3 linked regions of the Caenorhabditis elegans genome follow. The protein of the gene in region 1 purifies or fractionates together with the protein of each later gene. This does not show direct contact. Each region holds a gene or a part of one and is shown in the gene's direction. Other genes may lie near its edges. The genes, in order: ahcy-1, pfn-1 and enol-1.

The links.
Region 2: the proteins of ahcy-1 (region 1) and pfn-1 fractionate together in Caenorhabditis elegans (co-fractionation; one large-scale study listed by BioGRID). This does not show direct contact.
Region 3: the proteins of ahcy-1 (region 1) and enol-1 fractionate together in Caenorhabditis elegans (co-fractionation; one large-scale study listed by BioGRID). This does not show direct contact.

The regions. Positions count from the first base shown.
Region 1 is NC_003279.8:6,834,711-6,838,462, forward strand, and holds ahcy-1 (Adenosylhomocysteinase), read left to right. Parts: upstream 1-1,758; 5' UTR 1,759-1,774; coding exon 1,775-1,996; intron 1,997-2,064; coding exon 2,065-2,820; intron 2,821-2,888; coding exon 2,889-3,224; 3' UTR 3,225-3,430; downstream 3,431-3,752. Other genes in the region: dpf-3 (Dipeptidyl Peptidase Four (IV) family), read left to right, coding at 3,644-3,752. UniProt on the Caenorhabditis elegans protein: Adenosylhomocysteine is a competitive inhibitor of S-adenosyl-L-methionine-dependent methyl transferase reactions; therefore adenosylhomocysteinase may play a key role in the control of methylations via regulation of the intracellular concentration of adenosylhomocysteine.
Region 2 is NC_003279.8:12,919,890-12,923,641, forward strand, and holds pfn-1 (Profilin-1), read left to right. Parts: upstream 1-2,114; 5' UTR 2,115-2,150; coding exon 2,151-2,276; intron 2,277-3,120; coding exon 3,121-3,393; 3' UTR 3,394-3,659; downstream 3,660-3,752. UniProt on the Caenorhabditis elegans protein: Binds to actin and affects the structure of the cytoskeleton. At high concentrations, profilin prevents the polymerization of actin, whereas it enhances it at low concentrations. By binding to PIP2, it inhibits the formation of IP3 and DG.
Region 3 is NC_003280.10:8,928,995-8,932,746, forward strand, and holds the start of enol-1 (Enolase), read left to right. Parts: upstream 1-2,008; coding exon 2,009-2,100; intron 2,101-3,111; coding exon 3,112-3,197; intron 3,198-3,353; coding exon 3,354-3,752. Other genes in the region: cct-2 (T-complex protein 1 subunit beta), read left to right, coding at 1-270, 317-489; mrpl-50 (Large ribosomal subunit protein mL50), read left to right, coding at 859-1,391, 1,445-1,643, 1,690-1,815.

The DNA.
Region 1 (3,752 bases):
GTAGCTGATCAGCTGTCTGGAATTCCAGATGAGGTATACGGTCGAAGTGGGTCTAGAAAAATTCGCCTTGCCAAAATTTCCGATACTAAATTACAAAAATCATTTTCCGGGAAATAGATATCTCAGAGAAACTGCACCGGATTCTCAGCATTCGAGGATTTTGGAAAAACCAAAAGAAATTTTATTTGGAAAATTAAATGAAGTCTATTCTAGGAGATTAAAACATTAAAAAGTTTATAGAATTCTATTAGACATTAAAACCACCTGAACTTTGCAAAATTGATAAGCGAAACCTAATTGTCTACGAAATTGGCGGCGGAGGGCATTTCGAAAAAAGAACTACGATAAGAAGTGACCTTGGATGATAGAAAGTAAGAGATACATAGATCTCTAATAGATTCTTCTAGAATTTAACGAGATTTGCAAAGAAAATTTTAGTTTTAATTGTAATGAGCAAAATTATATTTCAGAACACAGTTATATTTCAGAACATATCACTTAGAAATTTTGAAACTGTCCCGGTCGACGTCTTGCATGAAAAATTACATTATCCAAATTGAGGCGCCACATTGTAAAAAATGTGTCAAAAATAGAAAATTAATTTTTGAATTTCCCTCGCTTTCCTCTTTCTCTGCTTTCTCTCAAGCTCTTATCATTCCTGCACATCTAACATAGAAAAGTACACAGAAGCGGAGAATGAGAGACGCAGCACATCCACGACGAAAAGTGGGCGGAGACTGATGTGGCACAGGCATTTGGGTGCTATAAAAGGCCGCCGTTGGGCCAGAAATAACGCCGTAGGAATACGGGCTAGCAAAAAAAAAAGAAAGTGATTTTTCCCTTTCAGACTGAAAAGGTACTGAATCATTCTAGAACAAGAGGAAAGTGGGGGAAATCTATCATCGACGAATCCTAAAATTTAATCTGAAACGTGATATCCTTTTCTAGGTCGTACAGAATCTTCAAAGAAATCTGCGGTGGTGTGGAATTCAGGAAGGTCACTTTACCAAAGCTATCGGCCAAAGTAATCTTACATTTTACAAGGCTATCAAGATTTTATCGCCAATTCTCCATAAATAACGCTGTCTTGACGGTTGACGAGCATCGCAGGATGCATATCTCACCTCATGTGTCAATACGTTTTTTTCTTAAATTTTCTTTAGTAATTTTCAAATAAAAATCATCGTTTCGCGGCGAGTAAGTCCAAATTTTAGGCCTTCGTGGCGGGACCCACTGAGAAAAATCACTGCGCCTTTGATCGAAACAGTAGAAATTTCGAAAAAGCTTTCTTTTTGGGAAAAGTTTTTGCAAAGTTCCTCGCTTTGTTTTATGTTTAAAAGACCGACTAGTTGTAAATTTCTTCGTCATGGTTCCAGATTTAATAGATTTTCCCACATATTAAACTCTAAAACCTAAAAAAGTTCTCGTCCACTAACTATCTTCCGTATTTTCGGGTTTACTTATTTACACATGGATTATTGTTTTTTTCCATTTAAAAATTGATGTTTTGGCAATCCACGTAAGCCAAGGTTGTTTTTGTTTATTTTCGATTCTCTGATAAACAAAAACAACTTATAAATTGGAAAATAACCTTCTCACAATCAGTTTTTTTTTCTTCACAAACTCTTGTTTTATCCTTTTCACAGCCGAACTTTCAAAAAAGTGTCTCATTTTTTTTCTTTATTTCCGTCTTATGGACTTCTTCGCTTCTCTTCCCTATCCGTCCTGCAGATTAAAATAAATTTCTAATTATTTCAGGTAAAACACATTCGCAATGGCCCAGTCTAAGCCAGCTTACAAGGTCGCTGATATCAAGCTCGCCGATTTCGGACGCAAGGAGATCATCCTTGCTGAGAATGAGATGCCAGGACTTATGGCTATGCGCTCCAAGTACGGACCATCCCAGCCATTGAAGGGAGCTAGAATCGCCGGATGTCTCCACATGACCATCCAAACCGCTGTTCTCATTGAGACTCTTACTGCTCTCGGAGCTGAGGTAAATCTTGTTTTTTGAAAGAATTAGTATTAAAATAAGTTGGTTTGAAAAATCGAAACTTTTTCCAGGTCCAATGGTCTTCCTGCAACATCTTCTCCACCCAAGATCACGCTGCTGCCGCCATTGCCCAGACCGGAGTCCCAGTCTACGCCTGGAAGGGAGAGACCGACGAGGAATACGAATGGTGCATTGAGCAAACTATCGTCTTCAAGGATGGACAACCACTCAACATGATCCTTGATGATGGAGGTGATCTTACCAACTTGGTTCACGCCAAGTACCCACAATACCTCGCTGGAATCCGCGGACTTTCCGAGGAGACCACCACTGGAGTCCACAACTTGGCTAAGATGCTCGCCAAGGGAGACCTTAAGGTTCCAGCTATCAACGTCAACGACTCTGTCACCAAGTCCAAGTTCGACAACTTGTACGGAATCCGCGAGTCTCTCCCAGACGGAATCAAGCGCGCCACTGATGTTATGCTCGCCGGAAAGGTAGCCGTTGTCGCTGGATACGGAGATGTCGGAAAGGGATCTGCTGCTTCCCTCAAGGCTTTCGGTTCCCGTGTCATTGTCACCGAGATCGATCCAATCAATGCTCTTCAAGCCGCTATGGAAGGATACGAAGTGACCACCCTCGAGGAGGCTGCACCAAAGGCTAACATCATTGTCACCACCACTGGATGCAAGGACATCGTTACCGGAAAGCACTTCGAGCTTCTTCCAAATGACGCTATCGTCTGCAACGTTGGTCACTTCGATTGCGAGATTGACGTCAAATGGCTCAACACCAATGCCACCAAGAAGGACACCATCAAGCCACAGGTAAGAAAATGTTCAGAATTAGGATGAATTCACAATCATCGATAGAAGTTTGAACCAACTTTTTTCAGGTTGACCGTTACACCCTCAAGAACGGACGTCACGTCATCCTCCTTGCCGAAGGACGTCTTGTCAACCTTGGATGTGCCACCGGACATCCATCTTTCGTCATGTCCAACTCCTTCACCAACCAAGTTCTCGCTCAAGTTGAGCTCTGGACCAAGTTCGGAACTCCACAAGAATACAAGCTCGGACTCTACGTTCTTCCAAAAACCCTTGACGAGGAGGTCGCTTATCTTCACTTGGCTCAATTGGGAGTTAAGCTTACTAAGCTTTCCGACGAGCAAGCTTCATACCTTGGAGTTCCAGTTGCCGGACCATACAAGCCAGACCACTACAGATATTAATTTTGTTGGTTCTACCCCATACGGATATTTTTTTAACTGTTTTAAATTGTATTGCCCTCAAACTTCATATGATCTTGAACTGGTTGTATTGTTCCCCATCTACCCGCTTTTCCCCCAAATACATAATCGCCTGATTTAGTCGTTTTTCTTCAACTCGTTGATTTGGTTCTGTTGTTTGTCTTTTGGACATAAATGTTTTATGGAGTAACTTTGACGATTGTTTGAGAAATTATTCTGAAAACGTTTGATTAGGCGTGAGTTTATCGAATTTTCAGATCTACGCCCGGGAAATTTCAAGCAGGGAAAAACAAATTTTAAATTTGTCGGGGTGAAGGGCGCTCTATTGATAAATAAGTTCTTTATTTCTCTCAACGCTTCACTCATTTCGTGTTTCACTTTTTATATTTACAGAAATTCCCATGATGTTCAATTTTTATCAGTTTCTCTATAACCTGCAAAATGTTTCCCCATTTATTGATTTTTCAGTACTAAAACAACTTACCCACACGAAAATGAGGGAAAATGAGC
Region 2 (3,752 bases), 6.1 Mb from region 1:
TCGAAGAGGATGACAATTTCTTCATTTTTCCACTTTTTTGGCCGGTTTTGTGACGTTTTTACCGATTTTCCGCAGGTTTTTCACAAAATTCTCGCGTTTTCTCCCAAAATTGATATTTCCAGCAGTTTTTTCCGCGTTTTGTCTCGGTTATTGCCAGAATATATTTTCCTCATTCTCTAGCAAATATTCGCTAATTTTCCTGATTTCCACCCTATTTTCTTCCGGAAAGTTCAGTTCGTTCCATTCTTGCTTTAAAACTGTAAGGAAGGAGCGGAAATAGGTGATTCAGAAAGAGTTTTTTATCAATTTTCGGCATCCGATAACGTCGTGAATCGAGAAAAATAAAAAAGCTATAAAAATTATCACATAGCGTAAGATTTCGACTAGAAAACTCTCAATTTTCCTATTTTTTTTGATGAAATTTCAGCTCACAGTGAGTGTTTTGTAGAAAAATGTAAAATTTTCCCCATTTTCCCCATTTTCCGCTTTCTGGAGTTTATTCGTTCGATTTACTGACAAAATCTTCGGGTTTTCTGCAATATTTATAGAAAAATCCGGCCAATGCTACGAAATTTCTGTTTTTCGCGGCTCTTTTGACTATTTCGTGACTTTTTTGGGGCTTCGATCATCAAAATTTCGAATATTTTTATGATTTTTGAGCATTTTGATGTATTTTTTTTCTTCTAAATGACTTTCAGATCTCCTTGGCAGAAAAAACTGCGAATATTATAACAACTTGAAGCTTCCTCGACGATTTTTGGCGACCTGCTGTTCCATGTGACTCACCATTCCAATTTCGCAATCCACTGGTCATTCTCGGCATTAAGATCCATTTTCAGCGCTCAATTTCGCAATTTTCAAAGCTAGAAAGCTTTGTTCAAATTGAATTGTTTCGCAACTCGTCTTCTATCGCCTTTTGGTTCTCTTTCTCCTCCGTCGTCTTCGCTGTGTTCTCTTCAAAATGATTCATCATTGGCTTTGGTTGTGTCTCTGGGTCTGTGTGTTCAATATAAATTGCAACTGCATTTGACATTAGTATGGATTGAGGCGGGTTATTTCACCCTCTTTTAGTAGTACACACACATTCAATTTGATGGGCGGTCTCTGTCTCTCTTTTCGTCCTTTATGGGTGAATAACTGACCAGCGGAGCAAGCAGGCAGGAGCAGGAGCACAAGCTCGTTGTTCGGGTTGAAAAGGGGAAGAAGGAGAGCACCAGATGGCATGCAAACATTCTCTTTCTCTTCTTCTCTCTATTGCTTTTCCTCACTGTCATTCACTGCTTCTCCATTTGCCCAGCCAATTAGATGGAGTGTTCCGGGTGGTCAAAGATGTCCTCTAGTTTTCGTAGCAATTTTCATCTTTCGGAATTTGAAATTGGAAGTTTTCTTTAATTTCTCTCAATTTTGGGTCATCTGGCGATTTTATGCCATTTTTCTTGTGAAATTAAATTCTCAGATTGCTCTAGATAGTTCAAATCCTCTAGTAGTTGAAAATTCGCCTCAAAACGTTGCTTTTTTAAAAAGAATTCTCCCTTAAGTTGGTCCTAATTTCTCGAGGCGAGATCTTCCAAAAGCTGAATTTTTCCAAGTTTTCTACATCTGAAACTCGAAATATTTACTATTTTCGTAGTTTTTGGTAGTTTTCGGTGTTTTCGAGCTTCAATTCCGCCTTTTTGGCCTGAAAATGGTCTGAAAATCATCGAAAATTGGTCAACTCTAGGTAAAATGCCAATTTTGGTTTAAATCGGCTCAATTCACAGAAAATTTCCAAGAAATTCATGAAAGAAGCTCAATTTTTGCACTACATTGGCGAGAAAATTGTGAATTTAGTGAGATTTTGTTGGTTTTTGTCATTTTATCCATTCGCAAGTTCTTCGCCACCAACTTACACCACAGATAAGCAAAAAATCTGCGGAAATATCAATTTTTGGGTATTTCGGCATTAAAATTCCATTTTTTGCGCAGTAAATCAAAAAATAATCGATTGTTTACAAAAACCGTAATTTTCAAGCGATTTTATGCTCTTTTTCTCCTAATTTGTGCTCTTTCTTCATATTATCATTTCTCATTACCCCTCCAACCATCTCAATCATAATTTATGTTTATTTTTTCAGTATAATCTCCGCTTCAACCTCCTCCAAAACACAAAAATGTCCGGATGGAATGCCTACATCGACACAATGACTGCCGCTGCTCCATCAATCAAACGGTGTGCAATCGTCGGAGCCGCTGATGGATCTGTCTGGGCTCGTACTGAGGCTGACAATGTGTTCAAGGTATGGAAATGGACGAAAATCATCGAAGAAGCTCGAGAAAAAATCGATTAAAACTGGAAACGATTGAAAAATCCTTAAATTGACCCATTTTTGAGATTGAAAAGAGCTAGCGGGGTCGATTTTTGTTGGAATTTTCGCATTTTGACCCAAAAAACTGAAAATCTCGCGAAATTATTCACTTTTTGAATTGAAAATCGAAATTTTTAGCCGCTGAATTTACATTTTACAGGAATAATTAGCAAATCCACTCAAAAATTGCAAAATTTTCATTATTTTTCGAACAAAATTAAAAAATTCCAGATTAGGCAGGCTTCAGGCGGCCGTGCCTGCCTACCAGCCCCTGTTTCTCATATAGTTTATACTTCTTCGAAACCCAAGTAGGCAGCAGACAGGCTTAGGCTACCTTGAAGGTCAGGCAAGTTACCTGCCTGACTACCTTCGAGGTGGCCTGCCTGATACCTACATTAGAGCCTACTTGTATTTCAGCCGCCTGAAGCCTGCCTACTCTGGAATTTTCTAAACTTTTTTTTTTCAGATTTTTCAATTTCATGAAAATTTAGAGTTAAAAAGCGTTAAAAAAAAAATTAAAATTCGAAGATTTTTTCCTGCAAAATGTAAATTCACAGACTGAAATTTGTGATTTTCCAGTATCTCGGCCAAGAATAAGCCGATTTTTTTGGAAATTTCAGTGTTTTGAGGCCTAAAAATGCGAAAATTGGGGAAAAAGGCTAACTTTAGGGTTACTGGATTTAAAATTTCGAATTTTTGGAAATTTCAAAGCGCAAATTTTTTAACAAGAAATATTTCCTGTCCAAAAACTTCTCTAATTTTTTCCAATTTCCAGGCATCCGAAGAAGAGCTCAAAACCTTCGTTGCCCTATTCAATGACGTCACTCAAGTTCCAGCAAAAGGAGCCGATATCGAAGGAGTTCATTACGTCGTTCCACGTACCGAAGAATCGCTCATCTTCGGAAAAAAGGAGAACACTGGATTCTTCGCTGTGAAGACCAAGTCTGCAGTCTTGATTGCTGTCTACGAGGGACCAAATGAAGTTGCTGCACAAGTTCGCAAGGCTGTCGAGAGTATGCAAACCTATCTCAACAATGCTGGATACTAAATACTTCTCTCTCTATCGATTGTTGTTCGATTCGTATTTATTCCCGCTTTTCTCTATTTTTTTTTTGCAAACTTCCCCCTTCTCCCTTCTCCCAAACCTTGATTTCTACGAGTACAACGATGAAATTCGGTTTTCTTCCGCGTAATCTTTCCCTCAAAACTCCCATTCCCAGAGCAAACACAGAAACAGTTTTTATTTCACTTTCAGCTTTATCATAATGTATTGTATTCCCCCGTTTTGTTTTCTAGTAAATTCATTGCCAATTCAATGCCTTCTCGATTATTTCATTTTCATCTCCCATCGACGGAGAAAGAGAGTGAGAGAAGAGTTTTGTGCTCGGAGCAATTATCGCGTGTTTT
Region 3 (3,752 bases), on another chromosome or scaffold:
CCCTCCATGATGCCCTTTGTGTTCTCGTTACTCACGTGAAAGAATCAAAGACTGTTGCCGGAGCTGGAGCGAGCGAAATTTTGATGAGTTCAGCCATCGCCGTCGAAGCTCAAAAGGTTGCGGGTAAGGAAGCCCTTGCCGTTGAAGCCTTCGGAAGAGCCCTTGCTCAATTGCCAACCATCATTTGCGACAATGCTGGACTTGACTCGGCTGAACTTGTCACAAGACTCCGTGCAGAGCACGCCAATGGACGTCACAATATGGGAATCGGTTTGTTCATTTGGAAATCTAACCATTATACAAAATTATCTTTCAGACATCGAGAAAGGAGAGGTTGCTGATGTTACGAAATTGGGCGTTATTGAGTCTTACAATGTGAAGTTGTGCATGGTTTCTTCCGCCGCTGAAGCCACGGAACAAATTCTTCGCGTCGACGATATCATCAAGGCAGCTCCACGTGCCCGTGCTCAAGATAACCGACCATGCTAATCAAATTGTTCGCCAGACTGTTAAAAGATCTTCAACTTTATTCTCCCTTTTTCAGCTTTTAATCGAGTGCTTCAACACAATCGTATCTCGTTTTTTTTCGTCCCCTTCATTCTTATTTTTGATGGAATTTGATACACTTTCTGTTGCTTCTGCCTACCGTTTTTATATGCCCCCGTTTTCAATTTAATATTCGAGAATACCGCGTGTTTTTGCTTGTTGATTTGTTTTCCTTTTAAAATGAATGGAGTGCGATTTACAAAAGGTACAATATTTGAAATGTATTTTATTCCAGTTTTTATCTGATTTTTTATATTTCTGATTAAAGAGAAAAGAAAAAGCTTAAAAGAAAAAATTTAGAACTGCCAAAAGATGCACAGGAGTTTTCCGAGGCTTGTCCGATCGCAAGGTAACTTGTTGAAAGGAATGTTTGGAAAATCCGGGGAAAAGGAAGCAGTAAAGCAGCTGACACTGGAAGAACAGGAGAGCCTTCGCAAGACGCTTCCCAGCATCCGTGCTAGAGAATCCACACAAGTTACTGCTTCAGCTGATTCTGTCACTGAATTTGACGATGATCTGTTGACGATGAGCCGTATCGACACGGATGCCATCCGGGCCAGAGGTTTTCTCAAATACACGCAAAACTATGTTCCCGGCGTTGATGTCAAAAACCAAGTACTTGAAGCAGCGTCATCATGTCTAAGAAGTGCTGGAGTAAAGTCTGAAAACGTGGATCAGTACAAATTTGTGGAAGGAGATAACTCTGTAAAGTTCGAGTTGTTGAACAGGCTGGGAAAATCCATCGAACATTGGCCAACCAATGGAAAACTTCTTCATTTGGAAACAGTGGCAGACGTCGTCGAATTTTATCAGACGCCTGTCAAAAATGTAACAAAATATACAGAGTTAGTTTTTGTTTAAAGATGCTTATTGAATTATTAATTAAAATAAATTATAGAATGGCTCGCGATGAGAACAAACCGAAAAACGTCTCGATTATGGAGCATGCTGCACGTTTCCATCCTGAAGACACTCACATGTATCATGGTGGAATCACTGCATTCCCAGGATCAGGTGGTGAAGTTCTCTCTCTGAGACAGAAACGTCTACTTCGACAGTTCCAACCGAAAAAAGAATGGTTCGATTATGATGATCAGGTAATTTTTAAAGTTTCAGTGCTGACTTAAAATCGGCATTTTTCAGACATTTGATTACACTCGTCCTGACAAGAATATGCCATGGGATCCAGAAGTTGCTAATCAAATGGACAAATACACTGATAAACGATACAACCTAAAAACAAAGCAATTCACTAGGATTCGACAATAAAAAATAATTTGGTTCATTTTTGTATTAGAGTTTCATATTTAGTATTTTTAGACCTATTTTCTTTTTGTTTGATCTATCGATTTTTATTGTTGTAAATAAAATTGACGTTGAAAAAAATATTTTTGACCTCTTCACGTTTTGATCTTCCTCTAAAGTTTTGCTCTACGCAAGTTATTTCAGTTTTTGATTTAAAATGTTTGTTCCATTCACCTCGGCAGCTCACTCGCTCACTTCGCTCATTCGAGGTGGCGGGCAGCCTTCGAAAAGCAATCTGTCTGGACAAAGGTTTTGGTTATCTCTTTTTCTTTATTTTCCGCCAGTTGATTTCATGCTCCCGCGACTTCCACACGCAATCTGCAAAATTTTGGCTGCTGAATCAGGGTAATGGGGTCTGCCGTGCCTTTTTTCCAAAACGTTGACTGATGTTTACTTTTCTTTTATGTTTCATTTTGACTTGTTCAATGGTTTTGAACAATAGTGTGTGCAAACTAACGTTTTTCTTTAAATTCAACACGCAAGCTTTGAGGTGTTTTAGTTAGAAAGAAAATAGTTGTGTTTCTCTTCAAAAATAAGTTTTTTCCGAAATGTTTTGCAAATTTTCCGAATCAACAATTTCTTCTCATATCAGACCTTATCACTTCTTCTCACTTCTAAAACTGACCACTGAACATAAAAAACATTTGGTAACTCGCTTCTCAAATCCAATCTGAAGTGCATGCTTTGCCAATCTGAAACTTCGTGTAAGTCACGTATTTAGGCGAAAGGCAGCCGCTCAAGTCGTCGCTTCTCCCCAGCGGCAGTTGCTGGCGTCCTTGGCCCCTCACTTGTTTTCGAGCCCAAGGCATTGGCTCCTCTTTTCTTCTCGGCATGACGAATTTAATCATAATTCTCAATATCTAGAAGTGTTCAAGAACTTAGTGAATCTGCAATGCCTTTTTTTTGTAACTTCAGTTCGAATCTTAACTGCGTCTCTTTGAGATCTACAAACGAATTTTATTCACTGCCACGAAAAAGAGGCTGTCCGTGCGATTCTATTGAACGTGCGCTCTCGGGCCGCTCACAAACACATCTAACCAGCTGCATTTTCTCTGAGTCTCGTGTCCTCCGTGCGACCTTCGTCACTCTTTCCACTTTCTGCGCCGTCTATTGACGGCGCCGCCTTTTTCTTCTCGCACTCCTTTACCCCTTCTCGCCTCAAACATTTTATCTTTTCAGTTGTTTTGTTTACTAGTGCCCGTTTCTCACGTAGTTTTATATACTTGTTTGATTATTGAAAACATATAGTTCATTTTGCAGGATGCCAATCACCAAGATCCACGCTCGCCAAATCTACGACTCCCGCGGAAACCCAACTGTTGAGGTTGATCTTTTCACTGAGAAAGGTAAGCGAGCATTGTATAAATTCTATCAAAACTTGAAAAACCAATCTAGATTTGAATAAAATAAGATTAATCTTGTTTTATTCAAATCTGAAATTTCATGAAGTATATTTCAACATTATGACGCAATTCCGAAATCACATCATTTCTTGTTTCCAGGAGTCTTCCGTGCCGCAGTTCCATCTGGAGCTTCTACTGGAGTTCATGAGGCCCTCGAGCTTCGTGACGGTGACAAGGCTGTTCACCTCGGAAAGGGGGTTCTCAAGGCCGTCTCGAACATCAACGAGAAGATCGCTCCAGCTCTGATCGCCAAGGGATTCGATGTCACTGCACAGAAGGACATTGACGACTTCATGATGGCTTTGGATGGATCGGAAAACAAGGGAAACCTCGGAGCTAACGCCATTCTCGGAGTTTCACTTGCTGTCGCCAAGGCTGGAGCCGTACACAAGGGACTCCCACTCTACAAGTACATCGCCGAGCTTGCAGGAACTGGAAAGGTTGTGCTCCCTGTTCCAGCCTTCAACGTCATCAATGGTGGATCTCACGCTGGAAACA